Linked DNA regions of Caenorhabditis elegans. The protein of the gene in region 2 interacts with the protein of the main gene of each other region in a pairwise test. Each region holds a gene or a part of one and is shown on either strand. Other genes may lie near its edges.

Region 1 (7,303 bases), on a different chromosome or scaffold from region 2:
CTTATAAGCCTGATTATAAGTAGATTTTAGTTTGAAGCATATTTTCATATCACAAAAAAATCAAAAAAAAAAATGCCACACTGGGGAATCGAATCTGGCTTTTTGGAAACCGGCCTATTTTATATCAAAATGCTGCTCTACTTTGAAAACTCATATCTCTGTTTCAAAAAATGTTGTTTCAAAAAAAAAAGTATCAAAAAAGTTGTAACTGTAAAGTTGTAGAAAAAGGAATAACACATATTTTGTCAGTGAACAACTTTTCAATACAATCAAAGGCAACAGAGATATGAGCAGTCAAAGATCGCAGTTTTTCTAGTCGATGCACCATGTCATGCAGACCTACTTTCACAGCTTTTATCTTGGTTCGGTAAAAAGTTATCAAGAAATTTTCAACAGCAAAGTTGGAGTAAAGAAGATGAGAAGTATTTTGTCAGTGGAAAAAGGTTTGATAAGATTAAAGGCAACTGAGATATGATGCAAAATAAAAGAGAAAAAAGTTGGCAGTAAAAAAGTGGAAGACATGGTGCATCGACCATAGCCTTGATATCTCATATCTCGGCTATGTTTCGTGTTATCAAAAAGTTATCAATTAACAAAATATTTATCAAGTATAGTGTCTTAAGTTCCGTAGTTGAACACTTCTTGATATTTTTAATGTGAACCAAGATATCGGTTGTCAAAAAAACGGGAGACATGGTGAATCGTCGGTATGCTTGACAACTTATATCTCGGCTACCTTTGGTTTTATAAAAAAGTTGTCAACTAACAAAATGTGTATTATATTCTTGGCTATGATTTGATACTTAGAAATTTAAAGATATCTACAATCTGGGCTAAGATATGAGAAGTCAAAGTTGGAAGGAAGACATGGTGCATCGACATGAATGAACAAGACGTATAGAGGAGTCACGGACTATAGCATTACAGTAAGATTATTGAACACCTATGCATTTCAAACTTCAGGGAAGCAACTAGGTAGTTCCAGAGCACAATGACCTAGGCGTCCGCCCCAGTGGTCAGCTGCAGCAGCGGTGCCAGTCTCTGTGATGATGCTCTCTGTTTTTGTTGACAACTCTGTGTCAGCTGATCTAGAAACTGAACTCCTCGAAGGGTGTTGTGTGTTGTGTGTTTCTCTTTTTCCCGGGCGGCGGCCGACGCGGTAGGCAGTGCCATGATGTTCCGACGTTCGAGGTGGCAGCAGCACAACAACACACAGCGGAGAAGAAGCATGCGAACAAAAAAAACGTCTGGTTTCTCTGATGCCCTAGCCCTCACCCACCCCACCCCGACTACTGGTACCAGGCGCCTCCTCGCCGCTCTTCAAGACCACCCCGTCGACGACGCTGCGCCAAAACAAACACGGCGACTGGCACGCTTCTTCTCAACTGCGTCTTCTTCTTATCCGCGCGGAACACACACAACACACACACACGGCATATAATAATTGTTTTGGCTCCGGCGTTCGGTGGGCTCCGCGCGGAGCAAAAGGAGCAAAAGAACGCACGTAGGAATTCGTCATTTATGTTTTGGTGACTAGGGACTAGTAGTCTTGAAAGAGTAGGATATTAGTATGAGGAGAGGTGAAAGAATCCAAGGGTCCAAAAAGATTTTTAGCATTTAAGGAGTCTAAACTTTTCCGAACACCTCGTGAAATTTTGCACCTGGCAGCAATTTTTGCACCTGGAGGGGTTCAGTTACTACATGAAAACTTTGAGGTTTTAGAGGGGTATTGTAGGATTACTGTAGTATTAATGTAGGGCTACTGTAGAAATACAAAAAAATTACGGTAGGGCTACTGTAGTATTACTGTAGGGCTACTGTAGAATTACAGAAAAATTACGATAGGGGTACGATCACTGTAACAGTTGATGCACCATGTTTTGCCGATTAACTTTGACAGCTTATATCTCGATTACTTTTACTGATATCAAAAAATGTTTAAAAATAGAACTATAGAGAAAGATATAAGAAATGTTTTGTCTGTTGCCAATTTTTGAACCAAAAACAACCAAGATTTGAACCAATGAAGTTGTGCTTGGCATTTTACTTTGAATGATCATATCTTGGTTTTTTAAAGAGATATCAAAAATTGTTAAACTACATTATTATAGAAAAGGTTATAATAAACATTTTGTCACTAGACAATGTTTTGATAACACCAAACACAACTGAAATACAAGACGTCAAAAAGCTGACGAAGGATTTTCAGTCGATGCACCATGTTTTTTTAAATTTCACAAAGTTTCCTATTTCCCATTCAAAATCACTAACCTTTTATTTTCAAATACTCAAATACGTAACCTTTTACCTTATCACATACCCTGGTCACCCCAACTCGTGGTATCAGGTTACCCCCTCGTAACCCATTCCGCGTGACCGCATGCCTGCCGGCGCGGCGGCAAGCGGCCTGGCACGGAGCTATGGGTGCCTGCCGGTGACATGATGATGCCCGTCCAACCATAGATAATAATAGGTAGACACCACATACAAACATATGTGTGTGTGTGCGTTCTTTTTTTGTTGGAAAAATGAGAGAGAAACTTTGACCACATACAAACATTTATGGCTATATCTAGTTGGATTTCAAAAACCATGTGTTTGACCTACATGTAGTACGGATTAACGGGATTGGTGGAAAATGTGGATAGGACCTTTGAAAACTGGGTTGATAGTGATTTCAGATCATGGTGCATGGACTAGATTTTAGGCAGGCGCGGGGCCTGAAGCCTGCCTGAAACCTGCCTGCTTTTTCCCCTTTTATGCATTTTAGGTGTATTTACACTGATGATTTTCAAATTAAAAAAAAAAGAAAAAAAAAACACGTATGATTTAGCATAAGTATTGAGGCAGGCGGAGATCGCCTGAAGGCCAGGCAGGTAGGCGTTTTATCGCCTACATAGGAGCCCTACACTTCAAAGTTGAGTCATATGAAATCAATGTAGAAAAAATTATGAAAAACAGCTTAACTAAACGTAACCGAAATATGGCCTCGATGCACCATGTTCAGAACTTTTCTTCGACAGACTCTATCTAAGAAGTGTTAATTTAAAAAAAAAAATTCCGATAAAACCAAAACCAGCCAAAATATGTAAGGAATTATGAAGAATGAAACAATTATTAAAAAGTTCCGAGAGGAGGAGTCCCAAGATAAAACAATAGCCTCACTCTCTCTCTCCCATATAACAACAAATGAAAACAACCTCCCAAAAAAAAACCAAACACAGAAGTAGACAATTGAAAGAGTGACGGGATGGTGAGAAACCAGTTCAAATGACCAGGTCATTGTTTCAGAGAAAACTGGTCACTTTTGTCGAGTTTTTTTTTGGGCAAACTATGTTAGGCAAGCCAATATCTCGGCTTTTTATGCTATTTGTAATTTTTTCCACGGGTTAATGTAGAAAAAGAGGTGAGCAATATTTTGTCAGTTGATAATTATTTTATAAACCCAGAGACAATTTAGATATAGAGCTGGTAAAGTTAAGTTTGCAAAACTTATCGATGCACCATGTTTTTATTTTGGTTTATTTTAGCGATATTAGTTACATATCAACTACAAATGTATAGAATAATGAATAAAACATTTATTACCAATAGACAACTTACTGGATAAACAGGGCGCGATTGGTGGGATAGCGGAGCGTCGTTTGAAAGTTTGAAAAATTGCAAGTTCTCTTTTTTTTTTGTGCAAAAAAGCTGGTAATAATGCACAAAAAAGTCATGTAAAATTTCAAATTCCCACCAAAAATTATTGGATAAACAGAGCGCGCTAGGGGATAGCGGAGTGTCGTTAGAAACTAGTAAATTTCAAAACTTGAAGGCTTCTAGTGGTGAAATCGATTTTGTTTTGGTGGTCGGTGGTGCAAAGCTGATAAATTTTAAATTCATAATTTAATCTGTGATTAGAGGGAGTTGGCCCGAAATTTGGAACTTTTTCTTTAAAAAAAAACTTCAAGTTAAATTGGCTAAACATCAAGCACTAGAGGGATAACGGAGTGTCGTTTGAAATTCAATGTTGCACTTGAAAACTGATAAAAAAGGGCCCAAACCCAACCCTAGATGGGTCCAAGCCTAGACAGGTCCCAGAAATTTCTAGAGAGCTCCAGATAGGCCAAACTCACTCACGTTTTTTCGTCTTTTTCTCGAAGAGTCCTCGCGCGCGGCGGAGTGCGGAAGCGGCATGATGCGACGCGACGAGCACTGCGGAAAAATGCCTGCGTCTCTTCGTCTCGCACGCTCTATCGGCTCGTTCCGCGCGCCCCTCCTGGTGTCGACTGGCACGTCGGGGCGCCCCCCCGCTGGCCACTTAGAGACGCAGAGTGTGGGAAAAAGAATGACCAGTGGTTGAAAAAATGACATTCAAAAAAGAAGAAGAAGAAGAAGGAAGGAGCAACAAACCACCAAACAACACAAAATTGATAAGGGTATGGGAAATCGCACAATTTTTGAGAATTCTCTCAAATAGGTCTAGGAGGTCTAAAAACTGAAATTCTGAATTGAGAAATCTATATTTAGGTCAAAAAGGTCTAAGTGTTAGGATCCTGAGCTATATTTCAGCCTAACGGAGTCTAAAATGCCAAAAATCATAGACTGGGTCTTTTTTGCAACCTAATTTTGGCATGTTTATACTTTTTATAGGTAGGGAGCCAAATTACGGACTAAAAGGTGATCGGTCTAGGGACTGGAATTTTGGTCTGAACGTTTGATTTGGGCTGTAAAGGCATTGATATTGGCCAGTCTTGGCCAGGCCATAACTTTTCCCGAAAGGGTTACAAACAGGGTTCTAGAGACTCTAGTTTTGGCCCAAAAAGGAGTTATGAAGCAAAAAGGGCCACAATACCCCAAAAATAACCTAAATGGTCCAAGTGTTGAGTTACGTTTCCTACCTGTTTAGTCTGGCAAAAAAAGCCTAGAAACCCTAATTCTGATCTAGGACCAAAATTTTATCATAAAGAGTATCAAAAAAGGCATAGGGACTTGAATTTCGGTCTGAAAGTTTGATTTGGTCTATGAAAGCCCTAATCTTGCAGGTCATACTTAGGCTGGAAGGCTTACAAACAGGGCTCTAAGTACTTTATTTTTAGCCACGCTAATCCTGATCTAGGACCCTTATTTTATCTCAAAGAGTTTCAAAAAGAGGCCCTTGAATATTGGCCGATCTGGTCTCAATGGGAACTTAAGAACCATGGGTCTTTCGTCTGGCAGAATAGGCTTAATTTGGGCCTAGGACCCGGATTTTATCTCATAGGGTTTCAATAAGTAAGCCCAAGCCTAAGCTTCAGCCTAAGCTCAAGCCTGAGCTCAAACCTCAGCCTAAGCTTAGACCCCAAGTTTGGCCAAAGGATCCTTGAAGAAGGACCAATATTTATTCGAATTTTTACCAAATATAAAGTACCATACTAAAAAACTTTTTTCATATCTTTCTGTATTTGTATGTTCTCTACTTTTTTCTTCTGTCTTCTTTACAAAACCTCCCCCCCCCCCCCCCATCTATCCATGATTCACATGCTGCCACACCTCCCCCACACTATTTCACTCTTTTTTCCTGCTGCTGCTGCTGCTGCAAGCATCGAGAAATACACACACAAATACACGGTGCTGGGTCACCACCTGGAGCCACCCATGGCTCTTTTCATATGTTTTTGCCTGGAAAATGACGACGACGCGGCAGCGGCAGCGGCAGAGACGCGGAGAACAAGCAGGGAGCGGAAGGAGTACGGGACCAGCGGGGCTAAGGGGGGCCTGGGAACCGGGGAGCCAAAAGTGGTCTGGGATCGTGCAAGGAACCAGGGAACCGAGTAAGCAAGGGAAACGGGGGTGCAAAAGCATTGCTTCATTCAGTTCCAAACTTGAGAAATTCAAAAAAAAAACAAAGCCCACGGGCATAGGAATTCTAAGGTGATAAGCACCGAGGCATCAAAAACGCTAGTTCGATTTTCATACACTTGAGCATTAGAAAAATCTTGTGTAGGCCTTCTAAGTCCAAAAGCCCAAAAACCGGTCGAAAAGGTCAGGTTTTTTTCAGAATTATTGAATTTTCTGGGGATTTCTTTTTGCTCTCTTTTTGTCCCCTGCTCAGCCTAAGCCTAAGCCTAAGCCTAAGCCTAATCCTTAGACTAAGCCTAAGCCTGAGCCTAAGCCTAGACCTGAGGCCAACCTTTGGCTCTCTGCAATTCTGACACCTCAAGGTACTTTTCCAGTCGACCAACTAGTACTACTACGACTAATACTAGAAACTTCTGTTGTTGTTGTCGTTCCGCGTCGCACCGCGCTGGCACCGACCGGCACACTGGCTCCGCCTGCCTAGCAGAGACTAGGCTGGCAGAAAAATGAGGAAAAAAACTAGGAGCGGGGGGGGGGGGGGGGGGTAGGGGTTGCTTGGGACCTTGGAGTTGAAAATTCTTGAAGTCAAGGGGTCTTGAGCTTCACGGGCCTACTGGACCTCCTTGGGCTTAGGGCCTACTGGTCTTTGGACTAGAAAACTCAAGGACTTTGAGTAAGAAACAACTGAGCTAGAAGATGAACAACAGGTGTAAGCCAGGGTAATACAGAACCTACATATAGTACAGGGAGTCTACATTTTGGTCTACATACATTCGGGCTAAAAGTTTTTATTTAGTCCAAACGGATCAAGCTTAGACTTTAGCTTCAGATTTGAAAGGTCGAACTGTAGGTATGAGCGATGCAACTTCCTGTTTAGGCGTATCAAGCTGTTTTATTTATCTAGCGAAGAACGGGAGAGCCTGAAGGCATCTAGATTACCAATTACACCCTATCAGAAACAAAACCGACAAAATTTCGAAATTTGGGTAATAAGCTCGGTTTTGATGTCGTAAGCTTTGATCGGGTGGCTGAATGAAAGGCTTTTGAGATTCTTCAAGGGATCTAGGTGGTTATGGAAGGATCTAAAGACACTAGACTTTAAGGCTTAGAGCTTTAAATGGCTTGGCTAGGTCCTATGCACCCTTAACCTATCAGAAACAAAACCGACATATAACATCAAAAAATTATCGCCACATAAAAAAAAATTGCATGCAAACAAAAAAATGTTTTCCTCTTTTTTTTTCTATCTCTTCCCTTTTTCTCGTTTCATCATTCCCCCATACTCTCCCTGAAAGTGGTACCGACAGATACGGAGCCCCCCGTCCTCCCCTGACCAGTCGCCTGGTCAGCTTAACCAGCATGAGACGCAGAGAGTCGCAGCGCCCCGGCGAGAGGAGCGGCGTCACTGAAGAGACTGGTGAGAGAACGGGACGGAATTTTTTTTTTTTCGTTTTTATGTTTTTGCATTTTCCTGCTGTGTTGC
Region 2 (6,986 bases):
TTTCTCCGCGTGTGTTTTTTGTCTATTCATTCCAGTCGCGCTAATCGTCATCTCCAAATACAGTTATATGCCATCCGTACGGTAGTGACCAGTGGCAAATCAAATCAAACAGGTTCCGAGTGTCAATAATAAAGACGATGAATGAGGGAGAAATGAGGAGATGGTGGGGGGAGGCAAAAAGGCAAATCGCAAATTATTTTGACACTACCTCCTGTGTTTGTATGCATTTGCCGCAATGGTCATCCGCTTTTGCGTAACACGGGTACAATGGGCGGCAAAATTGAGAAGGAAAAGCAGGCAAAAGAAGGCAAAGCCGGCCTTTCTCAGGGAAAGAAATAGATTAACCGGTGGGAGGCAAATGAACAAGCATGGATTTTTTCGGATCTGCATACATACAAGGTCTACCTATGGGTGTGGCGCTGAATATATATCTTTTGTACTCCGATTGATGGAGTTTCAGCGATTTGGGTCACTGCCACCGATTTGGCCAATGGTACTTGAAACATACTAGCTGTTGATGTAGTAATGAACTTTGTAATAGGTACCTTCCAACTAAATTTGATTTATAGTGTGTTCCTTACTAATGAATATAACAATCTCTTCTGCTAACATCGAGCATTTTCATGCTCCAAGACAGTTCACCATAACCCTAGAGCTGTTGTTAAAAGTTTTTCATTTTACATTTGTGGTATTTCATTAGCATTATAGGCTCTTATATCCTCTAGACTCATAGCCAAACTAGCACAACCTGTAAAAAAATTGGTAAGTTCTGATTTTTGGAGTAAAAACCTTAAAAGTATGTTCTTTTTGAGTTATGAATGTCATAAATCTTGAATTTATCAGGGAGCGATAATTTTGCCAGCTATGAGACATAAGAAAAACCTCCAATAGTAATTTTTCATATCAACTTGTAAGAACATAAACATTAGTCACATCACGCGTTGTGCAACAGTATTTGAGTTTGCTTAGAAAATCGGAATACTAAATGTCTCAATCTCAAATTCAAGTTCAAGCATAGATCTAAAATTTTAACATTTCGATGTGTTTTTTCAGTTCTTGTGTTTTTAACAATTCTAAATATGCAAACCTATTTAATTTACCTAGTTATTCAGGGTGGTTAATAACTGTGTAAGTTCACTTGTTTTAATATCTCGTTCCAAAAACAGAAACGTTGAGTTACTGCAAAGTGGTCGCCATAATTATGGGCGACTCTGTATATTCTTGAACTAGAAAACCGTATCTTTACGGTTTCATTTGTGATAGCCTTTTGACCTTATTTTATATAGACTTATATAAGAGTTCGTATACTCTAGGATTTTGTTGTATGTAGTAACTAAGATTTTTTTTAATATTCCAAGTTCCTAGATGTCATAACCTCTCACTATAGTTAGAACTTTTTGGCCTACTTAAAATTTCTAGGCTATATTGAAATACAATTTCAGTGTGTTTCAATATTCTTTACTGTCAAAAGCTAAAATGTCCACCTAAAATACATTATGATTGATTCCCGTCCTCGTATTGCGATGCCCTCTTAGTCTATCATAAATGCATTTCCGAATCTTCGAAACGAGGTTGAGTAGGTGCATTGTGTCAACTAAAAGAAACATTATGGAATTGTTGCAAGTGGTTCTCGACCTATTACCATTTCGCGTTCTTTGGAAAACTTTTGCGCCATTGGTCAACACATCCAGTTCTGAAGAAGCGCGGGTCCCCACCGTGTCTCTCCGACAACACACCACCACCACCCACTTTGCAGAGAAGAGGGCACAGTGTGTAACTTATTGTGAGACGATTCAGAGGACAAACAAATTGCGTGGTCAGTTTTGTTTTCAGGTGGGGTGGTCACTCTCTTTCATTCTCTTCATTGTGTGATGGAACACAACTACCTTGAACCACTTGTCTGATACCAGTTCCCTCTTCCAATCACCTAGACAACCAATACCAGCTTTTTCCTGTTTTCTCCCTCTCTCTTCTTCTCTTGGTTCAAAGTTTGTTGTCTGAAATTGCCAGTTCAATTGGGTCACCATGTCTGAAACTAGTGACCAATGAAATTTCGTGAACAGTCCAAAACAAAAAATTAATACCATAGGCTTCCTTGTGGGACAACTAGTTATATTTTCTGTTTGACTACTGAACTTATGTTTCTCTAAGTGTTGCTTTCTACTTTCAACCAAACATTTTTTTTCTCATTTTTCCATTTTGCCCCCATCTTTTATTCACTTGAACCTTTTCTCTTTTCTTTTTCTTCTTACCCTCAAAGGACAAATCGTGAGACTATCCTCAATTGAAGAAAAGGAATTTCTGATATATATCTGTGCAATATCTTTGTTCTCCTTCATAATTCACAATTCATTCAGCGCGTGTGAATCGTTTGAATTAATAATGCCACTGAACTCAAATAATCGGCCTTTTTAAGTTTCTCTAGTTTCAATTTCTAACGCTTTTGATTCTTCTTTTTCAATGTTTTCTTCAGGCTTGAATTTACAAACGCAAATTTAAAATTCCAGACACTCCAAATAAAATCAATACTCCATAATACTGCTGGATCAGTAACAACAATCTCCCGAATGGCTCTATAGTGGTGAGTAAGAACTAGTTTCCGTTCTAGTTTCTACTGTGCCATGCTCTTTCCCCTTTTAATGTTGTGAGCACTGTTTTGCTTTTTCATTGAAATAACAAAACAAGTAGAACAAGTATTTGCACCAGCAAGCATCTGGTAAGTATTCTCTTCCTCACCAACTTTACTTTTCTCACACTTTTGCCTATATTTGCGCATTTGGAGCAAGAGCAACACTTCCAGATTTGGTGACAGATTTCAAAGAATTATTACTTTGTCTAGTCTTATTTTCTCCTTGTCGTGTGCCGTTGTTGATCATAATAATAGTAGGCCAAATCGCCGCACCCGTCACTGCTCATGATCCCTTTAATATCCTAGCTAACTCCGAGTTTATCATCATGTGCCTCCTATGGGCACTGCCAATTCCATAAATAATTGTTTTTTCTTCTTTTCTATCTATCCTTTGTGTTATCCTTCTTCTTCCATACTTTACCTTATCAAATATTCATGTATTCTTGACAGACTGTAAGGGATAATTGGAGATCTCGATGATGAATTATCCTTGCTCTTGTGTTTGCAGTTTTGGTAGGGTGTATATGTCAATTATTTCTTTTGAATACTCTATTGAGAATCTATTGAAACCATACTCTATTCAGCTTGAGCTTCAAGGGAGAAACATGCGAGTGATCATTGACATACTTGATTGTAGTTAAAAACCGCATTTTCCGTATTAAACTTGCACCCCAATGGATTTACCTCGTATATCAGTCTTCTTAAGTTTTACCAAAAAATTATTTACTGTTGAAATGTACAAAAACATTTTGCACATAATTTGCCAACCGAGATAGAAGCTGTCAAAGTAAAGCAATGAGAGTACAAGACTAATACATTACAACTAACGTCTATATCATCCCTTTTCTAATCTGGGAGTTTGGTGCTTCCAAATTATTTTCAGAAAAAAACGTCAGCACAGTTTGATAGCAAATGCTGCAAAGGATATGCTCCCCCAGTTTTATGATGATACCTGAAAATTAAGTAAAAATTTTGTAAAAAAAACATTCATCCAACTTCTATAGCACTCATCGGATTTTTTGACAGGGGCCAGTTCTCGGCTCCTCATAATTTTCTCGTTTATTGTTAAAATTTCGAACTAAACTTTGAGATATAAGTTGTGAAAATCAAGGACCATAGGTTTTCAACATTTTCTATTGAACTGTACTAACACCTTTTCAAAAAATATTTTCAAAAACACCAAACTCTCAAATTAGTGGGGTGGTGCTATAGACGTTGGGCACACTGTAGAGAAATATTTGGTGGTATATTAGGTCTCCAAATAAGTTCCGGGTCAAAAGTCATAACTTTGTTCGCTGCGTATCGATTTTTATGAAACTTTGGGAATTCATGTTATCAACTATGATCTTTCATTTGACAATAGTCACAAAATTTTTTGACCACCCCAAGTGCCCTAACTCGGAACCAATTTTTTCAGGCATTTTTCTGATCTCGCTTCTTTTCAAATTTCAATTGAGGTTCATGGTTACATCATTTTTGTAGGAAAAATCTAGAATTTTCGACAAAAAATTTTTTTGAAGATTTTTTGACGACCAACCAAAAAAAATTTTTTTGGACGGATTTTTTCAAAACTTTTGTTGTTTTCTAATAATGTATTCTAAACAAAGAAAAATCCGCACACAACCCTCAATTCAAAGCTGAAAATAAGCGAGATCAGAAAAATGCCTGAAAAAATTGGCTCCGAGTTAGGACACTTGGGGCGGTCAAAAAATTTCGTGACTATTGTTAAATGAAAGATTATAGTTGATAACATAAATTCCCAGAGTTTCATGAAAATCGATACACAGCGAACAAAGTTATGATTTTTGACCCAGAACTTATTTGGAGACCTAATATATTTGATTTACCTTTTTTTGAAATCTTTCTTATTTGTTGTGCATGAGACTTAACTTTTTTTTCATAAACTTATCACACAACAATTCTTCGCAAAACACTACAATCGAACATCATTCCTGCTCATCAAACATCTGCGCTGTCCCACTGTCCCAGTGTCTCATCGCTCGTCAAGCCTATCAACATTTTTTGTCCCAAACTAAAAGTGCAATGAGAGCTCCATTGTATTGCACGAAAAGTTTCTCAGTTTCTCAAAAAGTGTGACATCGAGAGAAAAAGAGCACCGTTGTTTCGAGGTTCAGCCGCCACAAGAGCCAGTTGTCACCGGCGCCCCGGATACACGGAACAAAGCCATGAGACGTATGTTCTATTAGGTGTTCAACTATTGCTAACCTGTCACCTGCCCCGACATTATTTGATTATCTATTGTCTCGTTAATTGATGGTAAGTAGAGTGTGTGACACCTTGAGAAACGATTCCACAAATATCACCATTTTGAACGTGTTGAAAATATCCGTCGAACTAACGTTTGTACTCGTAGTATCACTTTTTCCTATCCGTTTTTCGTGTTTGAAATCTTTGATAGGAAGATAAGACACAGGGAACCCCGAGCTCTTGATGGAACAATGCCTGCCAAGATGTTTGTCAATTGTTGCATCTTCCTGGAAGACGACAAAAGTTCCCCCGTTTTTCATCTTTTCGTCCCACTCTCATACGAATCTTGAACAGAAATTGTTGCGAAAATTTTTTCTTTCAAAAACTGACCTCAAATCAGCGGAAGGAGTCACTTGTCACACTTGTTCTTCTTTTATATATCACACTTAATAACACCTATCTTTTGTTGTCAAACCAAAACGGAGCTCTTGTAATATTCAATATTGAACGAACATTATGCCCTTTCCCATTTGACAAATAGGCCTTGATCCATCCTGCTCTAGACTATAATCGGCTTAACCAGGCCTTGCTCATAGATTTCGATTCTTAGCCCCTGTTTCCTCCATCCCCACAACAACAAGTTATCCAAGGGCAACATCGATGAATTGTGGAATTTGATACTAACGGTCCCGCGGGAAGGTGAAATTGAAGTATTTGAATTATTGTTTAATGCAAAAAGATCAAAGGTTCTAATGTTCTCGTAAGAAATGTTGTATCAAAAGAAACCCATCACCATTGATGTATACATCTTAACAAGGACCGAGTGCACATTTTCCCACAAAACCATTTTCTCAGCTTTTCGAGAAGAAAAGAGACAAATTAGGTGTGTAGAGAATGGTATTGTTGTGAATCGATTAGTCATAGATTGCTTTTTTTGGTCGGCCGTTTCACCCTTTCTTGGCCATTACTAATTGTAAAAGGGTCTTTGACCATTATTAAAACTGGAATACAACTAGAAAAGTTTAAAGCACTACTGACCGAAAATAGTTTTACCATCCATGCAAACTAGTACTACAAAATAGGCTCCCTAAATATTAGAATACTATATAAATGTTTTGGTATTGAAAACCGCTTTCTGGAAACTTCAATGAGTAACTTAAAAGTAATCGTGATAACTAATTCATTATCACCTCTATCATTTCTATCTTTTCTTGAATCCACAAAACGCTATTCGACACCTGCTGTCCATTGCTTACTTACATTTCAAAGCACTTGTTTGCGTGTGCAAGCCTCATGAATAAAAGCATATTGAGACATCCGGTAGACAGGTATACGGTAGGCTGATGAATGCTCAGGGGGAGTCCATCATAACCACCAGCAAAATTTCTTCTTGTCTTGTGAAGCTCCTAAATTGTGCCATCTTTCCTGGCCCCGTATTTCATAATTGTTTGAATTTGTTATAGCAACATCTGTGTGAAATGAATCGCATGTTGACCTGCCTTAAGACTAATGACTCGTATCGCGATGAGCTACGAGAACGATTATGCGAATTTATAATCACAGGTGGTCCCAGTCGAAAAACTCTCCCTCTCTTTAATAAAAGTATAGAATTGGGAAATTGATGTGCATGCAATGTAACATGTAATACATGTATGTACAATTCTTATATTCCGATTTTCTTCGAGTCTTTGAAATGACAAATTTCCGTTTCCTAACGCTTTTCCATCAGAATAATAAGTGGCGCATGTGCATAACACTGCACAAAAGTGATTAGAAAGCATAACATTTCCTGTTGCTGCTTGATGGACCCATTTCCGGTGATGGCACGTCGTCTTGTCCAGGTGTATGTGTGAATATACACTGGGAGTAAACGCTTTGCTCATTCACTTCCGTCGCCACCTACTTAGGAACATCAGTGCGGCTGATCCCCAAGATGGAGGGCTTTCTCGAGATGACGACCCCTCATTAACGCTCATGTTTCGATGTATATTTGCATTGTGTGTATGCATCTAATTTAGAGTTATGATCTATCCCTTTTCGTTTCTCAACTTTCCCGCACATCCACTACCAACTTTTTTCTTGGGCCAATCCAGCCTTGCTGCAAACGTTGCAACAAAAAATCCAAATAATTTTAAAATATTGTATTTTT
Region 3 (7,034 bases), on a different chromosome or scaffold from region 2:
TACGAGAGACACTATGCGTATTTCAAAATGATAACATTTGACAATCTACCGGCGAAGCAGCTCTATATTTATGGACCTGCAGACTTAGTGAGTTGAATTTTCAAAATAAAAGAAAAAAATAGGTATTCTGAAATCCAAAATTGAAAAAAGCTAAAAAGCTTCTTTTTGTTTACACTTCCTAAATTTTTTGCTAGTTTTTACAGTGTTTTAATTGTTTTATTCTAGATTCTAGAATCTAGATTTAACACATTTTTAGCTTAACAAATTTTTCCAGGTTTGCTCCGAAGAATCCATCGAAGAATACGCCCAGTTAATGGAGCAACGTGGTGTTTCAATCTCAAAACTTCGTCTTCTCGATTCTTTGCACTGCCAACATCTCCGATCTCATCCCGTGACGTACACTCAAGAATGCCTAGACTTTGTGAAATCAGGCCATCTACCAGCGAATAGAAGTCGTGTGCCGTTAGAAATAACTGAAGAAGCTGCACAAAATGATGTACCTGAAGAGCTTGCCTACTAGATTCATATCTATAGATTTTTATTGTTTCTCTTAATATTTATAGATGGTAATTCGCATAATTACTTATATATTAATTGACCGGTTCTTCCCATCTCCTTTCCCAACGTTCCATCTCTATGTCCCAGTTTTATTCGCTTTAAAAGCTTTTGCTTGATACTATTGACATTAGATATAAATTATTACTTTTTGAAAGTCCCTGCTATTACACGAAAAAAAGTTTCCTTCCTTCTAAAAAAAACTAAACTAAAAACAGAATCTTGGAAGCGTAAATATTATTTAGATGAGGGGCTCCTTATTACGTATGCCGGTGCGTGCACTTTCTATTTTCTTCCTTTTTTTCTGAATTTTTTATTTTCAGCCAGGCGTTTCCCTTTCGACGTAATTTGTTCTCGAAATCACCTGAAATGTGAATGGGTGGGCAGAGGAAACACAAAAAAAGAGAGAATTCAAATTGATTCTGATGTGATGCCATTTCCACTAATCTCTCAATTCTTACTCCCACCATTTTTTTGCAATGATTTCCGAATTTGTGACTGCTTTTTCGTTCCGATTTCATTTTGATGACCGTGTACAAAAAGATGAGCAGACAACCATAACGAACGCGAAATTGTATGGAATCGTGAGAGACATAAGTATGATTAGAGAAAATACGAAGTTATCAATTATGAGTAGATACTACTGTTGATATTGTAAATTGGAAAGTGAATCACAAATCATGACTATTGGAGACCAATGAAACACTTTCAGATTTATGTTCGAAACTTCGTACCCAACTTGGTTCCGAAATTGGCAAAACTTGGCCAATTCCTGGTTCACGAATGTACAATTCAAAAGCCTCTAGATATCAGCACAAATAAGCCAAATAAAACATGAAGTTAGTAATAATAAAAGATAATTAGCATCGATCGTGTTAGGCCGAATGACTATTCTTATGCAAATTACGGTGTTTCTATGAAAAAATTAAGTGCAAGTGCCGAAAAAAATCTACCAATCAAAATTAACTTTGCAAATGCGATACAAATTCCCAAATGCAATGAACTGATATCTACCGTACTTTCCAAATGGTATGGTACACGGTATGTTACCTTGAATAAAACTTGTTTTGATATCTAGACGAGTTGTTTGGTATGCTGAATAACATGGTAAAACAGTTCAAAAAATTAAAAAATGTTTGTAACTGTAGTCAAAATCTGGCTATTACTAATAATATGTTATCACGTATTACAAATATGAAAGATCTAGGACCGAACATGCAAAAATAGTATAAATTACTTTGAAAAAAAACCTTTTTTTTGCATTGTGCCAAAAACAAAACCTCAAACAATTTCAAAAAGAAAATCAAAATATGTTTAGATTTTGTAAAAATGATCTAGAGTATTTCTGGTCTAGTTGAAGTATGTGCAGACAAAATTCTCGAATGTCATAATCGAACACTCCAGAGTAAAATGTTCATTAACAGTTTTAGTAAATTGCCAAATTTTCCAAAAAATGTTTTCTGGTCGACTTCCAAAATTGGATTTACTGAAACATGAGTTTTTATTACTCTCGGTTTTTATTAATTTGAAAAACCGGATCAGAAAGCTTCAAACCCCTGCAAAAAACGTATTATATTTTAGTTATTATTGGGTGCATAAACAAGATCTATGGGTAAAAGACTAATGAGGTCAGGCCTAAAAAGAATGAAAAACAAGATGAGCTCTGAAAAAGCCAATGAACTTCCAAAAAGATAAGTGGCTGATGGAAAGGCAAATACAGAAGTCAAAGGAGCGGAGAGAAATGAGGGAAAAGAGACGGAGAACGTGAAGCAAGCACACTGACACATTATTTACGGTAACATTTTTCTGCGAACTTTATCCATTTCCTCTCTTTCTCTCTCCATTTACCTTTCTAAATGTCAATTGGGTGGTGGAAAGAGAGAATGAAAAATAGAGAGAATGAGAAACTTCTGGATTCTCTCAATTTTCAATGTTTTCTTTCAATGTTCGTTTGTCTATCTGCGTCTATGGATGTCATGGATCTGGAAAATAGAGAGAAAGAGATAGAGATAGAAAAAGAGAGAAAAAGGAAAAGAACGAGTCAGCAGAGGAAAAGAGACAAGAGTGAGTGTGCGTGTGACTCATTCTCGGGGCCCCCGCCGACTAACCCCCATCGCCATCGTCGTCAACCGATTCGTCATCAACTTCTCTTCCTCTCTATTCAATTCTTATTTGTCAAAAGGTTTTGAAATCAAAATAAAACAAAAATGGAAGAGGATCAAGAGGAACCACCATCCTCATCAACATCATCAGAATCTCCAGAAGTTGTTCTAAAAGCTCCAAAAGCTCCAACTCGAAGAAGGAAAAATTCCAAAAAGGGTTAGTTTGTTTGTCTAGTTCAAAAGTTTTGGAATACTTGATGATAAACCTGTCACAATAGGAAATGGACAATCATGGTTACAAAACTATAGTTTCACTACTATCAAAATGCCAAATTACAACTACCAAACATTTGTGATCTCGTGATTTTATCGTTAATTGATGAAGTTGTTTGTCAAAACATTATATCAATTTGTAGATCTATGTTTAATATGAATTCTTTGAACCCATAAAAAGTTTATGACGCGTGCCAAAAAAAACAGGTGGTTGTTAAAATTGTTTTGTATTTTTCTTAAATGATTTGTAAAATTAAATCATATTGTTTCTTACCAAATTGAAAGTTTTTCTATGCAACAATTTCCTTTCAACTGGACATAAAACACTTAAAAATAGAGTAAACGGTATAATCCTGGCTCCGCCCACTTTTATGAATGTTCATCATTACATTTTAATCATCACAAAAACTACGAGCGAGACTCTAATTCGGAGAGAGACGCAGTGATCGAGAAAAAAAAATCGAGTTGACACGTGATTTTCGATTCCAACGACGCAGCTACTGTAGTGATCGAAGCGGCGCACAGCTTTTCCCGCCCGTTCCATCTGGCAACTGTCTGCGTCTCTTCGTCTTATATGGTCTCTTTTCTTCGAACTGTTTTTTGTTGATAAACGCATATGCCTAGTTTAGCGGAAGTGTAGAGGCATTAGGGTTAGGATCTAGGAACTTGAAACTATATATATATATATATTCCTAGACCATATTCTGTAAACTTGGTAAATTTTTTGAACTTTCATTAAACCTAAATTCTTGATTAATATTTAAAATTGCAATTAACGGTAAAACTATGTTTTTTTGGAAAATCTCTACCTCCTACTCTAGCTTGTCCCCTAGCTTTACTTTGAAGATTTGTATTATTCAAATCCTTCAAAAAAAGCTTAAATATATTATGGTATACAAATCCGACAAACCTCATTTCTCTAAAACCTTCATCTAGAAATTTAACATATTTCAAACCCGACATTTTTTCACAAGAACTACCTAATAAATCACCACAATATGTCTCTCCGCCCTCTCTTGGTTTGAGAGCAATATTTCATTGGTTCGACCTGATTGTGCCAAATGATAAGACTAACAGCTGTTCCTTTCGGAAGTTTCATTATTAGCTCATCAGATCATTTTAGTACACTATTTGGGTTTTTTAAGGTTTTGTCGAAATTTATAGTTAGGTATTTTGAAAACGTTCTTCGAAGTCATATTGACAAAAGTACAATACGAAAATACAAAACACACTATAAGTACAGAAAATTCAAGCAAAAGTTCAAACAATGCTATTTTAAAATTGATTTTGAACGATCGAATGCTATAAAAAATCTAAAATGATCTTACAAATGGCTTATCCCGGCCCTTCGCTTCTCTATTTTACGTCGAATTTCTCGTTATCAAGATTTTTGCAAAGAAGATGTTTAAAAGTTTGTCTTGAAATTTTTTTTAGCTACGTGAGCTGAACTAATTTTCGATGCGTTTATTCTCGAACTTTGGTTTCTTAATTTCCATTTTATCCAGACATATTTTGTTCATTCGTTCTATCCGTTCCCATTCATTTCTTGGAATGAGTCATCGGGCTTTCGTAAATGTTTTGACACACACTTTGCCCCTTTTTTCCTTCCCATCTTTCAGTTTTTAGGCTCTGATTTCTGTTCCATAACATGCATGGGTAATGAGATGAAAGAGGCTATGGCAACTCTTGCGAAACAGTCATATGTTTGATGAAATATTCAGGCGAATCTCTGTTAGTATTTGTTCTCATTTTCTGCAGAAGTTGTTTCAATTTTAGAATGGAACCTGTAGGTAGTTAGTCATTTTGAACTCAGTTTTAGCTAGGTTACCCATAGTAGATCTATCTAGAGAGGTGCATCCTCAGGATCCACTGCCTGCCTCAAACCTACCCGCCCCTCCTGGCTTCATATTTTTGATTCAACGATGTTTGGCGCTCGAATTGTGTTAACTCATGAGTTATTAATATTTCTAGGCACAAGGCAGGCAAGGGTTGCCGTGAAGGCAAGCCAAGTTCCGATGAGGCGCATGAAGCCCTAGTTTCAGCCAATTCCCATCAAACCTGACACTAATCTTTAAAGAACATATTCATGACGTTCTGCTCGTGGAAGACTGATCTGCTCTAATATTTTCTTTTTGATGTTTATCTCTGAGCTTTTCTGGTTCTCTAGTTTCATCTACATTTTCTGTTAGAGAACATCTGAGAATCTTTTTCTTCTTCTCTTTTTTTCACTTTTTCTATTTTCCCACCATCATAAACACAAATTAAAGAACGTGCTTGGATGGAGCATTATGAAAGTTTTTCACTTTCCTTTTTCGTGTCGCGTATTCAAAAACTTTAAACAACATTTCCCACCAACTTTTTCTGCTAATCAGCGTAGTTCCAAGAACATCGTTAACATGTTTTGTTAATCAAATCTAACACGCGTTTCATGATCAATTGATGTTTGTGTTATGAAGTTATCTGAAACATTTTTCTTCATATATATTGAATCTATTTTTTTGTTATGCTTTTCTCGATTCCCGCCAATTTAGGATATATTCTTGTTGGAATTGTACTTCCTAAATGTGCTGATATTTTGGAAAACAATTATTTTCCGGGTCTTTTGATTTGATCTATGATTTTGCAGTGGCTGAATTTTAAATAATTATCAAAGAAATCATAGTTTTTGTAAATATACCTAAAGAACATAACCGTATTTTAATATGGAATTGATCAGAAAATAATCAATCAGTTGTTTCAAGAATCACCAAGAAATGGAAATTTATAATTCTCTATCCTACCAAAAATAGAATCGATTTCAAGTTTTTTCACATAACTAGAAATTTTAAAATAACCACCAGAACCACAGTTAAGGTAAATGGAACACAAAGTTGACTGTAAGGGGTTCGAGGGACGAAAGGCGCCTCGGTCACGCCTCGACCGAGTGGAATGCCTACTAGAAGCACAGCATCAGAGACTGTTCACGACATTTAACAGTTACAGTGATATGGTAAATAACGAATTAGCAATATAATTCTTCCCGTTTGTCTTGAAATTGTAAGCAATTCAGTGTGCTTTCAGTTCATCCTGAAATGTCGGGTTGTTGAGTAGTGAGTCATACTCGCTTATCACCAAAAATGGTTCTCCACCTCCATCTCATTCTCTCATCGTTTCGTTTCGTTTTCTTCTTCTTCGTTTTCCGATTCTCATTCTTCTCTATTTATTTTGTGAATCGATGATGAATAACTCGTTTGATATGAATGTGACACAACATACCAACTCTTCACCATGTAAGGGTTCATTTTAAGAGTGACAGTTTCATTTTCAAATGACACGAATACCAAAAGACTAATTCCAATCTCTGAAGTATTAAAAGTTAACTTTCAGATCGGCGACAGGATATGGAAGTAGATGATGGCGAGAAGGAAAGCACAGCACAGTACTGTAAAGGATTTTATGGTGAGAATTTTGAATATTGAAATGAATGGAAATTTTAAAATAAAAAAAGAAAGTCACAAATTGAGAACTCAAGAATAATCGTTTGCTGATCAAATATTCAAAAAATGGAAATCACAAAGTAAAAACGTCAACAAAACTGTTGTGTGACTGATAAATGAATGTCTTTCTCATCACAATCAGAAGGTGGCATACTACTTTAAAACAATTGTACCACTGTTATGACTGGATGGAAAATGAAAAAAAAACTAACTTAGATATACATAGTCAAGATTTTTTTAAAGTTTTCACCTGAAAAAATTAATTGATTTCAATTTTAAATTTTCTGCACGCCAGAATATCATTAATCCTACACCTAGTACCACAAATTTTGAAAAAAAGTAAAAACTATTTTGAACCGAATTAAGACAAAAGAAATACTCGACAACTTGCCGCAGCTAATTCAGCAACTTCAAAAGAAAAAACTCAACTCAATTGACTTATAAAAGTTACAATATTTTTTTTGGGGACTAATTTTCATGAATAGTTAACAGCTCTTCCTAAGCAAAAAAAAATAATTCAAAATTTTTAAAAATTTTTTTCAAGTTTAAAACGAAAGTACGCAACTTTAGAAAATTGATTTTTTTAACTTTGATGCTTTTGCTGTCATTTAAAATTTGCTGTCACGTG
Region 4 (10,166 bases), 3.5 Mb from region 2:
GAAGAGACTGGTTGAGACAAAAAAAGTGAGTTGCGAAAATCAGTGAAAACATCAGAATATAAGGATGTGAGAATTCAAGGAGTGACATAGAGAACAGTGAAAAGTGAACGTGACGTTTTGATGACTGAGGTGGGGGGGATCAGGTATCACAATGTTTTCAATGCTGGCCGAACGATGCGAAATGATCAGTTTCAAGAGACAGTGTGCCCGTTGCGTGAGACTAACAATAGTTAAAATAATAGTAAAAATAAACAATAATAATAATAAGTTAATAAGTTATGTTTTTGGATGGTTGAAGTAAACATGACTAGTTTGAAGAGGGGGGTAGAAAGGTAAACGCGGGTATGACAACGGAAAGCGGGTAACCAGACCCAAGAAAGGCAGTTGGTAGAGTTGGAACAGTGTTTGGAATGCTCGACCGGCGAGATGATGTTTAGTATTTTTTAGCATGCTGCTGTTCGTCGGCATACTCCTTCATCACAGCAGCAAATTCGGATCACACGGCACCCGCAGCCAGAAGTCAGGCACTGAGATACTTTGATTTCCTGAAAAACAAAAAAATCACAATGATGTCATCACGTGAGAGTGTCGTAAGCTACCTCTGTGGTCTGAGTGCTCGAATCTTTTTTCAACGCGGCTACTGGCAAAAGTAGATTGGCTGCTTGAATGACTGGGCTCGTTTGAATGTTCGCGAGTGGTGGAAGAGGTTTCAGATCTTTCAAGTTAAGCACCTGAAGTGGAGCTGGAATTGCGATGGAAGCTTCCTTGGGCATTTGCGGTGTGAAGCTACTGACAGAAAGATTTGAAGAAAGGGAAGCAGTTGTTGGAGCCGTTGCAGCTTGTTGAGGCGATGGACCTTGGACATGCTGCTGATGCTTGGAAAGTGCAGCAATAGTGGAAAGTACATCCAGGCCTGGGTTCAACATAGCATTTGCCGCCCAGATCATTGCGAGGTGATCTTCCATTCCCATCCATGGATTGTTCATACCATTCAACGTTGCAGGCTGAAGTAAATTGCTTTGCTCTTGTTGTTGATGTTGGATAGGAGTTGGGATAGGTTGAGGAATTTGAATAGTCGGTGTATGGCTGAATGGTGGCTCAACTTTGACCATATTATTGATGAATGGCAAAAAGCATGAAATATCAGTCTCCAGTTTAGGCATTTTGTACTCATTCTCGTCATCGTCCTGAATTTACAAATTACAGTTTAATAAACTAGTTTTTCTCTAACCGAAAACTTACATCAACTTCAAACTTCATCATTCGTTTACTTCTTGGCTTCTTTGGTTTTCCATCCTTATTTCTGGCAACAACTAGGCTTTTCTTTATACTCTCCTTGTTATCAAACATCACTCCATCACTCAAGTACATGCTAGCTTGATTCACAAGATCTCCAGCATCGTGGTCCGGATTTTCCAAGGCAGCAGAGTATAGTTGAGACTGAAATAATATAATTTTGTATTTTTAAACTGCATCTACAAAGGTCGAATCAGGATTTGAAATTCGATGCACTTTACATTGCGTCAGAATTGACCCTTCCGATGACCCAATTCGGAAGAATTCGCAAAAAGTTTGTACCGTCAATTTGAATGGCAGCGACGCAATAGATTTGGGAAAATTGGCGCATCTAGGTTAACGAGTCGGGTGGTATGGCCCAGCCTGTCCCCGCGCGCGCTGCCGCGTGCCTGCCATCCATGGCTTGACCTTGGCAATGCGCGGATCTGTTTGCGAATTATTCGCGGTTCATCAACATGGGAGGGAGGAGGGGGGCAAAATTGCGGCACGCGCATGAGTGGCCGATGTTTCGAACCGTGCCACGCTCAGATTGTTTTATTTGACCTGACCAACATCGCAACTGACCTAGGCACTCGGCGGCGCCACCCAGCGCCGAAAGTAGCGCATCTCGTTGCACTTTTAACTTGTATACACAAACTATTTTTGACACACTCGAAAAGGGCCGACGATCTTTTTTTTCCATCTACTGGTGCCATGAAGTGAATTTTTAAGGGTTACGAAATAAAAAAAAGTTATCTTTTTTGCACGTACACACAATTCCCTTAGACACTCTCAAAAGCTAGAGGTTCCACATGACGTTATGAAATTCGAACTTGAAGGCGCCAAGCCTAGGAACCAATTGGAACAAAAAGAGTCAGCTGGCAAATTCAACCTTATGATATCGGTGCTCTGATCTGGCACTGCGCCAATTGCAAAGGGCACTAGCTCTTAACCTAGACAGTTGTGACTGTGTAATCTCGCCACGTACCTTGATAAATTCGATCTCAGCGACATGGTGTCTTGGAGGGTGATTGTGTGATCCTTTCGTGCATGCGTTTTTATTATCCATGGTTGTTTCAGCTCGGCATTTGCACCACTGCCCATCATGCATTTTCTTAGCGCAAACGCATCTCCAAGACTTGAAGTTACGTTCTGGAGCAATCTGAAAAAAAACAACTCGTGATGAAAGTCACCACTTGAATGATGGTCTATGATACCTGATAAATATTATATCGGTAGCCTTGATACATAAGTTTTTGATATCCTTTGAAAGATGTGACAATTTGTGGAATGTCTGGATTGTATCGGACAAATGAGATCTGAAAAAAAACTATTATTATCGGCCCAAAATCGCCAGTTAAGGCGGTGTTTCCCGGTGTCAGGTTGTTTTGAAATTCGTGTGGGAAGGAAGCCCTAAATTTTCCGTCTGAACAAACACCGGTCAACTATGCAAACGTTCTCTTTCAAAACTATGTTTGCCCTTCGGACAGTCCAAACAGTTATCTCAAAGTACTTACCTTTTTCTTTTCCTTGTCCGGTGATAGTGGCATACTGCTCACGCTAATCGGAGAAATGGCGGAAGTATCAGTGGAAGAAGACGAAATGTCTGATGATCCAGGCTTTTCAAGACCCAGCATTGTCTGAAAAGGAAAATTGATGTGTTAAATCAAATGAGCAAAAAAAAATAGCGATGGGAGCAATAGAATAATAATAACCAAATGACCTCTGATGAATTAGAAATTGAACTCAAACTAGACAGATGATGAAAAAGAGATATGACCAACGAAGAGAGATGTGACAAAAAAAACGAGCGGACCTGCTGTTGGATAGCGAGCGAGGTTCAGACACCTAGAATCAGACGATTTTTTCTCATCTATCTCTCCGCCCCAGGCACTATCAGTTGCTTGGGGCGGACAAATCAGCTGATGGGGCAGTCGAGAGAGGCGCGTGCCATTTGAACTGATAACCTATCGTGGCAGGCACCAACCGGCTGCCAACTAAGACACCGAATACTGTTATTTGGATGAGGTGCGCGAGAACGAGAGTGGCGAAGAGATAGAGGATGAGTGACCGGCAGGAGGCACAACTGACTGTACGGAAATTGGCGAGAAACATGCGTTGAAACGAGATTGACACATTCACTTTTTTTTTTGATTTTGGTAAATTTTGTTGAGGTGGTTGGTCGAAATTTCAAAAACAGACTAAAGAAGGGTTAAAAAGAATACAGAAGTATATGATTATCATTATTTAATTCGGAATTTCTAAAGAAGATAGAACAAAAAGTTGATAGCGGGGCAAAGCAAAATTCTCGGAAAAGAAATACAGTAACCAGTTTCGATGGCACACATTCCGCAACATGCGGCGACTTTTATCGAGTAATGGTGTTTTGACTTCGTTGACCCACAATTCCTTCCATCTATCTTCCGCCAGCCTGATCATAATACTTTTTTGACCGCTTTTCCATCCATGGAATACTGCGAGGAAGTGGCGCGAGAAAGTAAAGGCATGAGGTATAACGAGTACCGTTCCAAGTTTCACTTTTTGTTTTTGTGGCGGGCGAGGGGGTCATCGTCGAAGAGAAAGTTCGAGTAAAAGTGACCAAAAATGAAGCAAGTTTTGCAAATAGGCACCAGAAAGGGGGTCTCCAAAAAGTTATTATATCCGGGCCAATGGAAAGTGTGGGATGCCAGGACGATTACCGAAAAAAGGGCCGCGCCGTCGCCGCCCGCATGACCTAGCGCGGAAGACACGGATTGACACCGGATTGATGGATTCGGGAGAGAAAAAAAAAACCACAAAATTAGGTAATTGAGGGCGAAGATTTTGATAAGAAAGGCGGAAGCCAACGGCTTGACCCAATCGCGTGGCACTAGTCCGCATAACCTTGATGGAAACTATTACTGTTGCAACATCGGCAAAGTGCAAGGTCCTATTGGACATCGGCGCAAGACGGCGTCAGCACTTCTCGCGTACGATTCGCCATTTATGGCGGTCAGAATTCAAGTGTCTAGTAATCAGTGGCCGACAGAACAAACATTTTTCTTATCAGTATGTATATGCTTGGTTCAGCGAAAAATTGCATAATACCGATCCTGGAACGGTCGAGCACCACTGGACAACAAAAATATTTGTTTGGCATGCTTACATGCTGATAATACCTATTTCAAGATGATGGGAATTGTATAGAAGCCGAAGGTGAAAACATATCAAACGTTAAAATTAGGAAGGTAATCGTAACAAGACTAGTAGTAAGGTAGAAATACAGTAAGCGTGAATCTAGAGAATCGCAGTCTGAAGTTTCACACCTTCCGCTATCCATATTCTACTGGTAGTCTAAAATTCCGATGGCGGCGTCGGGTGGAAGTGAGAGGGGGGGGGGGGGGGCGGTTCAGTAAGGAACGGGGTCAGGCTGCCTGCCACGAAGAACCGCGAGGGAGAAGGCCTTTGCCTCCTCCATCTCCTCCTACTTCTACATCCACAACATCTTCTTCATTTCAATCGGCCGCCTCCCCCCTAAATGAACAGCCAACCCCGCCAAAACATCCGCGATCCGATGGTGTGAGGCACGCGCGCGCATACGCCGTGCCCTGAACCATTAGTAGTGGATGATGATGGTGATGAGGAACGAAAATGAAAGAAGCGTCTAACGAATGCAAAAAAGATCACAAGGGGCAAAGAGGTGAAAGGCGTGTGTACATAAAAACAACTCTCGAAATCCGCCTTGTCCGACATCCAAGTATGGTAACTGCGTCGGCAGCAGCAATTTGGCGCCAGTCGCCGATCCACTCTCACTTGGACGTTTTGCCCCCAATATGGAAGGTTTTTTCATCTAATTATTTGACCGGATGTCAATTTCTATGTCTATCACGAAACGTTTAAAGGCAGATTCGTCAATTTGAAAAGATCTGGAAAAAAAACATTGCTGGAGCAAAATTACAAGTCTGGAGTCGGCTTTTCGTTTCCAATTAGTCAAAAAACACACACATACACATACGCCACCATCTGGGGTTGTCAGGAAAGGTGATGGATGGACATCTCTATGGCAATCGGGAGAGGGCCTAGAACAAAGGGGTGCCAGTCTCGGATCGGTCAGATGAAATCGTTTCTCTCCTACAAATTTTTCGAAATTTTGCAATCGTCAATGATTAGTTCGATATCCAGAAAATTGGTATAGATGATATCACATATTTACTACGGGATCCATGAATGCCCTTCATTTTCACGTCGCGCCCCCCCCCCCCCCCCCCCCATTCTCGAAGAAGTCTTAGAAGCTGCAAAAGCTCGTAGTCAATCTTGTCCAGGATGAGTGAAAGGCGATTTTACTTTCTATAGCTGAACCTTGATTTGGAGAAAGTGAAGAAGGGGCAGCTAGGAGAAAAGAAGAAGAGTGGGCATTTACGCCAAGAAAAAAACTGAACACGCAAGACTGGTCACTTCATGAAACAACATCTAGCGCTTCTAAAAACTGAAGTGGTCTAGAAAATTAGGAGAAAAATTGTGAAATGGAACAATGAACGCGCCAAGGCAAAACGAGTAAAGTGCGTTACTGGTGCTCCACCCTTCCTGCCTCAGAGATTGACCCCCTGTTCGAAAATTCAAACATGAAATAGTGTAAAAGAGAAATGATACACAATTGATAGCTCTAGTACAGGGAACAAGGTTAGAAAGGTCATTAGTCAACTATGGAGTGCTTCCAGTTGCCACCACTGACAGTAGAAGTGTGGAAAGTATGTGTGCGAGAGCCCGGCGTGAGCCAAAATGGAAATGGGCGGTCCGAACGGTTTCGACAGTGGAGGAAGTGGGAGCCATCCGAGTTGTGACAACCACGGTGGCGGGTGCCCGGCCGGAAGGAAGCACACATCAAGAGTACAGTACGAAAGGCCTTTCCGCAAAGGGGGGGGGGGGCAAACGGCAAACAATGACCCTTCGGGGCGTGTATATATTGTGCTTCGCATCAGTTTGGCCACGTCTCGCGCAGTACAGAGAGTGGCACGTAACGCCACTGACCAGCCAAGTGCAAACTTGTAGACAGGCATCGCAGCGCCGAGGCACTCCTCCAACCTAGTACTATATTTGCAAATGTTGGTTCTCTCTGCCTTCATCTACTTAATCTTTCTCTCGAAACTGTTCCCTCGAAACCGCGCACTTTATATTACTGGGTGGTTTTAGATGTTGCCCTTTTCTTCCGCGTAAAGTCATAAAGAGGAAGACGTCAGAAACTATGAGCCACAGAACGAAAAATACTGCTAGTTTTATATCAAAACTTTTCGGAGAAGGCAAGCAAGCGTCGACGGTCAGAAAAAAAATATAACGACGAGGGCGAGCTGCAAGTATCACTAAAAGTGAAAACGATTGGCAAGCGGACAATAAACATGCGGTTACGCAACAAAACTTTCGCGCATTGGTCATGCCCCGGCGCCTAGCACTGTCCGGGCTCGTGTGCAAAGGTCGCTGACTCATCTGGCGCGGCCCATTGAAGTCGAGCAGGGGCAAAATGGTACTGTCAACTGATATGTTGGTTTTTTAATCAAAGAGCTGATTGGCAATGGTACAAGCCAGCACTACTTTCCGCCCGTAAAGGAGAAACATAGAGAGCTTTTTGGTTGCAAAATGTAGAATGTTAAAATTATACAAAAGATAAAAACGCATATGAATACTGATAATTAACTGAAACTGTGAACCATTGATAAGTAAATGTGTACCTATCAATTACAATTTACTCCAACATTTCCCCGATTAGAAAACTAAAATGTGAGAACACAACAAAAAAAACTACATTAATTTTAAAAACCGCTCGTCTCCAAAATTTCTTGACATCTCCCAGAAAATAAAAATGGAATGATAGATACCAAGTCAATTTAATTCATATTCCCCCCCGTAGCCATATTTGGCAGGCAGAAACAAACGACGACACGTCACTGAAACGAACGGGGTGAATAGGAGAACAAACCGAGAAACAGAGAAGCACACGAGAGGGGGGGGGGGGGGGGTTTATGGATCTCAAGAAAATGCATGATGTTAAAGTTTTGATCATCACATCGTATTCTGACAAATAGATAGAGGGTAACTCAGCACAAACCCCTTGGCTCACGCAAAGGACAAGAAAACAGTTGTGCAAACTCAAACCACCGACTGAAAACGCCTGTCGCTGAACAAATCTAACTGGTCACTCACCTGGTCAAGCCGCCAGCAATTTTTTTGAACTGTTGTTGTCATCATCAGCCCCAGTTTGGAATATCCAGAATGCTTCCTTTTCTCGGTGTTTACTCGTTTCGTTGCCCTGGAATAAAGTACACATTTATATTGATCATAACAGGGCACAAACTGAGCAGGGTGCCTTTCACGAAGAGCTTGAAATGACCTTTTAACACACACACATACACACATCATGGTACGAAATACATCTGGGAAAAGGGTGATGGTTGTAAGAATAAACTAATAAAATAATGAGCAATTGGAGTTGCACTATGTGTGTCAAACTGGAATTGGAAATTGGAAAAATCTCAGTTTTTGTTCGAGGCATAAACTCTAAAAATTTCCACTTTTTGACTGTCAGTAAAAAAAACATTTCAAACGATTTTTTTTGACTTTTTAAAAGTTTTAATACAAAATTTGATTATTTTGGTATCATATATGTAGCACTGCTCCACTTTTGAAAAATCGTTTTCTAATTGGTTACAGTGCTTTTCAGAAAATTATACAATGGTTTGCAACCTGTGGTGTGGTGTGTGTGTGTGTGGGTGTGTGAAAAAGGAATTAAATACAAGAAAGAGATGAGTTGGATGCAATAGATGGGTATATGGTGACGACGTCTTCGCCGGACGCAGATTGTTGTTGTTTGTGGCAGTTCCGCGCGGATCAAACAAATAGTATGTCAGCGTGTAGATGCGCAGGCAGATACAAAACGCGGCGTGCGGGCACTAAAGTTCGTGACCTGTGATGGGTCGCGGCAAATTCGGAATAGACCGGGGGGAATGAGGGAGAGGCGGAAAACCAAAAACGGCGAGACACAAACTAAGGCTCAAATAAATGACGAGTCGAGCGAAATACGTGATTAAACTTTTCCAATACAGTCTCAGCGTATTTTTTTTTCGGGCCAGCGCCACCCTCCACGCTCGTGAGACACTTCTATACTACTTTATGAATCCGGCAAACTTTTGGATGCGTGAGTGTGCCGCTCATCATACGCCCACATTTGTGAGATTGGAAAATAAAAGTGCAAAAAACCTGAAGTAATATGCCTTTTTCTTGGTTGCTTACATCAACTGGAAATCACATTTTAAAATTGATGAGTTCAGTGGGGTCCCTTGTGTAAATATCAATTACTAAAATATTGGCACTTTCAGTGATGTCTTCAAAAAGCAATGATTTGATTAACTTCTCGACCTAATGCGATATCTGAAAAAGTTCACAAGCAATTCTTATCTTGATTTAACTGATGGTCTATCCGTCTTTGTTGTCGCTTGTCAGTACCACTTGCCGTGCCGATTCGGTGCCGTCCAGTGTTTCGCATCCAATTGGCCAACGAAAGGTCATTCATCCGACTGAACTAAATTATGGCATGGCAGAATGACAGTGTTCAGGGGTAGAGTTTTTTGAAATTTGCAACTATCTGCATAGATCACATCAATTTATTTTCAAAGTGTGACTGTTCGGCCTGTGCATTATTTAAAAAATTTTCACATGTTCATCCAAAAATCTCCAGTGCAGTCCCAAAACCGATGGAAATCTAGAGAAAAAAACCCGGAGCAAGTGATTTGTATAATCGAGATATAATCTCAGTTGTCTGATTTTAAAAACTTTTCAAATTACAAAACTGTTTCTACTACACAAGGTTGTTTCATTGTGTCTGTGAAATTTTGCTCCGGCCTCCACACGCACTCAAACACGGAATCCGTCTGGATGAGAACTTTCAAGTAGCAGTAAACACGGGGTGGATACGGTTTCGATTTCGCCTTCGCATCCAAATGGTCACTCGCCCAACAACAAACGAAAGTAGTGACGAGCCAATAAACAGGCAAACATAAATTGAATAACTATACGGTTTTGCATCTGGTAGGCAAATATGGAGCGACGACCTTTTTCCATCACCTCTTTCCGATTTGTGGTCTGACTTGCGCCGAGAGTGTTATCGAGACGCCGTTGGTGTGGACCTTCGTGACAGCGCCGCCGGTCATCACTGTGTGGCTCGGCGGCCATCTATGCTCGGGAGGGGGCCCCTGTTTGTCTTCTCAATTATTCTCGCTTACTTATTTTGCTGTGGCTCTCCGCAACGCGCACACCACTATACGTACGTGGTGTTTGTAGAGCCGCACCAGGTTGAATTGTGCCAAAACCGTGCGTCGAACGAAACGTAGAGAAGACAGGGCTTGCACAAAGTTGAGCGCCGTCCTCGTCTTACGGTCTTTTCCCACTCAATTTTACTTCCTTGTTGGGAGGCTCTCACTGAGCCGCTCCGCTTTGCTTCAATGCAAAGAAAAAGACGATCAAATGACAGTAACGTGAAACAATTTCCTTATTTTGTAGTTGACGGAAATGAAAGTGTTGTATGGGGGGTCAACCAGTTGAGAAAAAGAAGACCTTTAAATTAACTCTCCGCCACCGCAAATGTCCTTCAAAGGGGTTTTTCGCGAATTCTGTACTTCTTCATACCTGCCACCCGACGTTAAGTGCTGACATACTTTTTTCCCAATCTTCTCGATCTTCCGCAAAACTGTGTGGTTCTTACGTAATCTACAAACTGATTACCCTTGACGGCACACTTTCTCTAATCACTTTTTACAAAACAATTGGGTCAACTTTGTGACATGACATTAGAACCGCCAAAACAATTGGAGAATTTAAAATCCCCAATATGGCAGGGGTTACAAGACGACGAGATCGTTAAAGTC

What was found.
Region 1: the proteins of egl-13 (region 2) and znf-782 interact in a two-hybrid assay, tested with the Caenorhabditis elegans proteins (one large-scale study listed by BioGRID).
Region 3: the proteins of egl-13 (region 2) and jun-1 interact in a two-hybrid assay, tested with the Caenorhabditis elegans proteins (one large-scale study listed by BioGRID).
Region 4: the proteins of egl-13 (region 2) and peb-1 interact in a two-hybrid assay, tested with the Caenorhabditis elegans proteins (one large-scale study listed by BioGRID).

Annotation. Positions count from the first base shown.
Region 1 is NC_003282.8:1,063,360-1,070,662, forward strand, and holds the start of znf-782 (C2H2-type domain-containing protein), read right to left. Parts: upstream 4,167-7,303; 5' UTR 4,123-4,166; intron 1-4,122.
Region 2 is NC_003284.9:5,661,330-5,668,315, forward strand, and holds the start of egl-13 (Transcription factor egl-13), read left to right. Parts: upstream 1-2,507; 5' UTR 2,508-2,581; intron 2,582-3,035; exon of another isoform or gene 3,036-3,175; intron 3,176-5,158; exon of another isoform or gene 5,159-5,351; intron 5,352-6,519; exon of another isoform or gene 6,520-6,664; intron 6,665-6,986.
Region 3 is NC_003280.10:9,110,529-9,117,562, forward strand, and holds the start of jun-1 (Transcription factor jun-1), read left to right. Parts: upstream 1-2,628; 5' UTR 2,629-2,762; coding exon 2,763-2,874; intron 2,875-6,088; exon of another isoform or gene 6,089-6,147; coding exon of another isoform or gene 6,148-6,199; intron 6,200-6,296; coding exon 6,297-6,368; intron 6,369-7,034. Other genes in the region: T24H10.4 (Transmembrane protein 53), read left to right, coding at 1-87, 275-520. UniProt on the Caenorhabditis elegans protein: Transcription factor that recognizes and binds to the AP-1 non-canonical enhancer heptamer motif 5'-TTAGTCA-3'. Required for ovulation. Controls plc-1 expression in the spermatheca to regulate spermathecal valve dilation.
Region 4 is NC_003284.9:2,208,379-2,218,544, reverse strand, and holds peb-1 (FLYWCH-type zinc finger-containing protein peb-1), read right to left. Parts: upstream 7,495-10,166; coding exon 7,450-7,494; intron 6,304-7,449; exon of another isoform or gene 6,013-6,303; intron 5,088-6,012; exon of another isoform or gene 4,965-5,087; intron 4,910-4,964; exon of another isoform or gene 4,528-4,909; intron 4,311-4,527; exon of another isoform or gene 3,963-4,310; intron 3,740-3,962; exon of another isoform or gene 3,554-3,739; intron 3,316-3,553; exon of another isoform or gene 3,099-3,315; intron 2,916-3,098; coding exon 2,793-2,915; intron 2,726-2,792; exon of another isoform or gene 2,604-2,725; intron 2,595-2,603; coding exon 2,493-2,594; intron 2,438-2,492; coding exon 2,264-2,437; intron 1,907-2,263; exon of another isoform or gene 1,644-1,906; intron 1,441-1,643; coding exon 1,243-1,440; intron 1,188-1,242; coding exon 600-1,187; intron 546-599; coding exon 444-545; downstream 1-443. UniProt on the Caenorhabditis elegans protein: Putative transcription factor. Binds to specific sequence motif 5'-[TC][AGT]TGCC[GA][AT]-3' in regulatory elements of target genes such as myosin myo-2. May modulate gene expression, perhaps acting in opposition to transcription factor pha-4.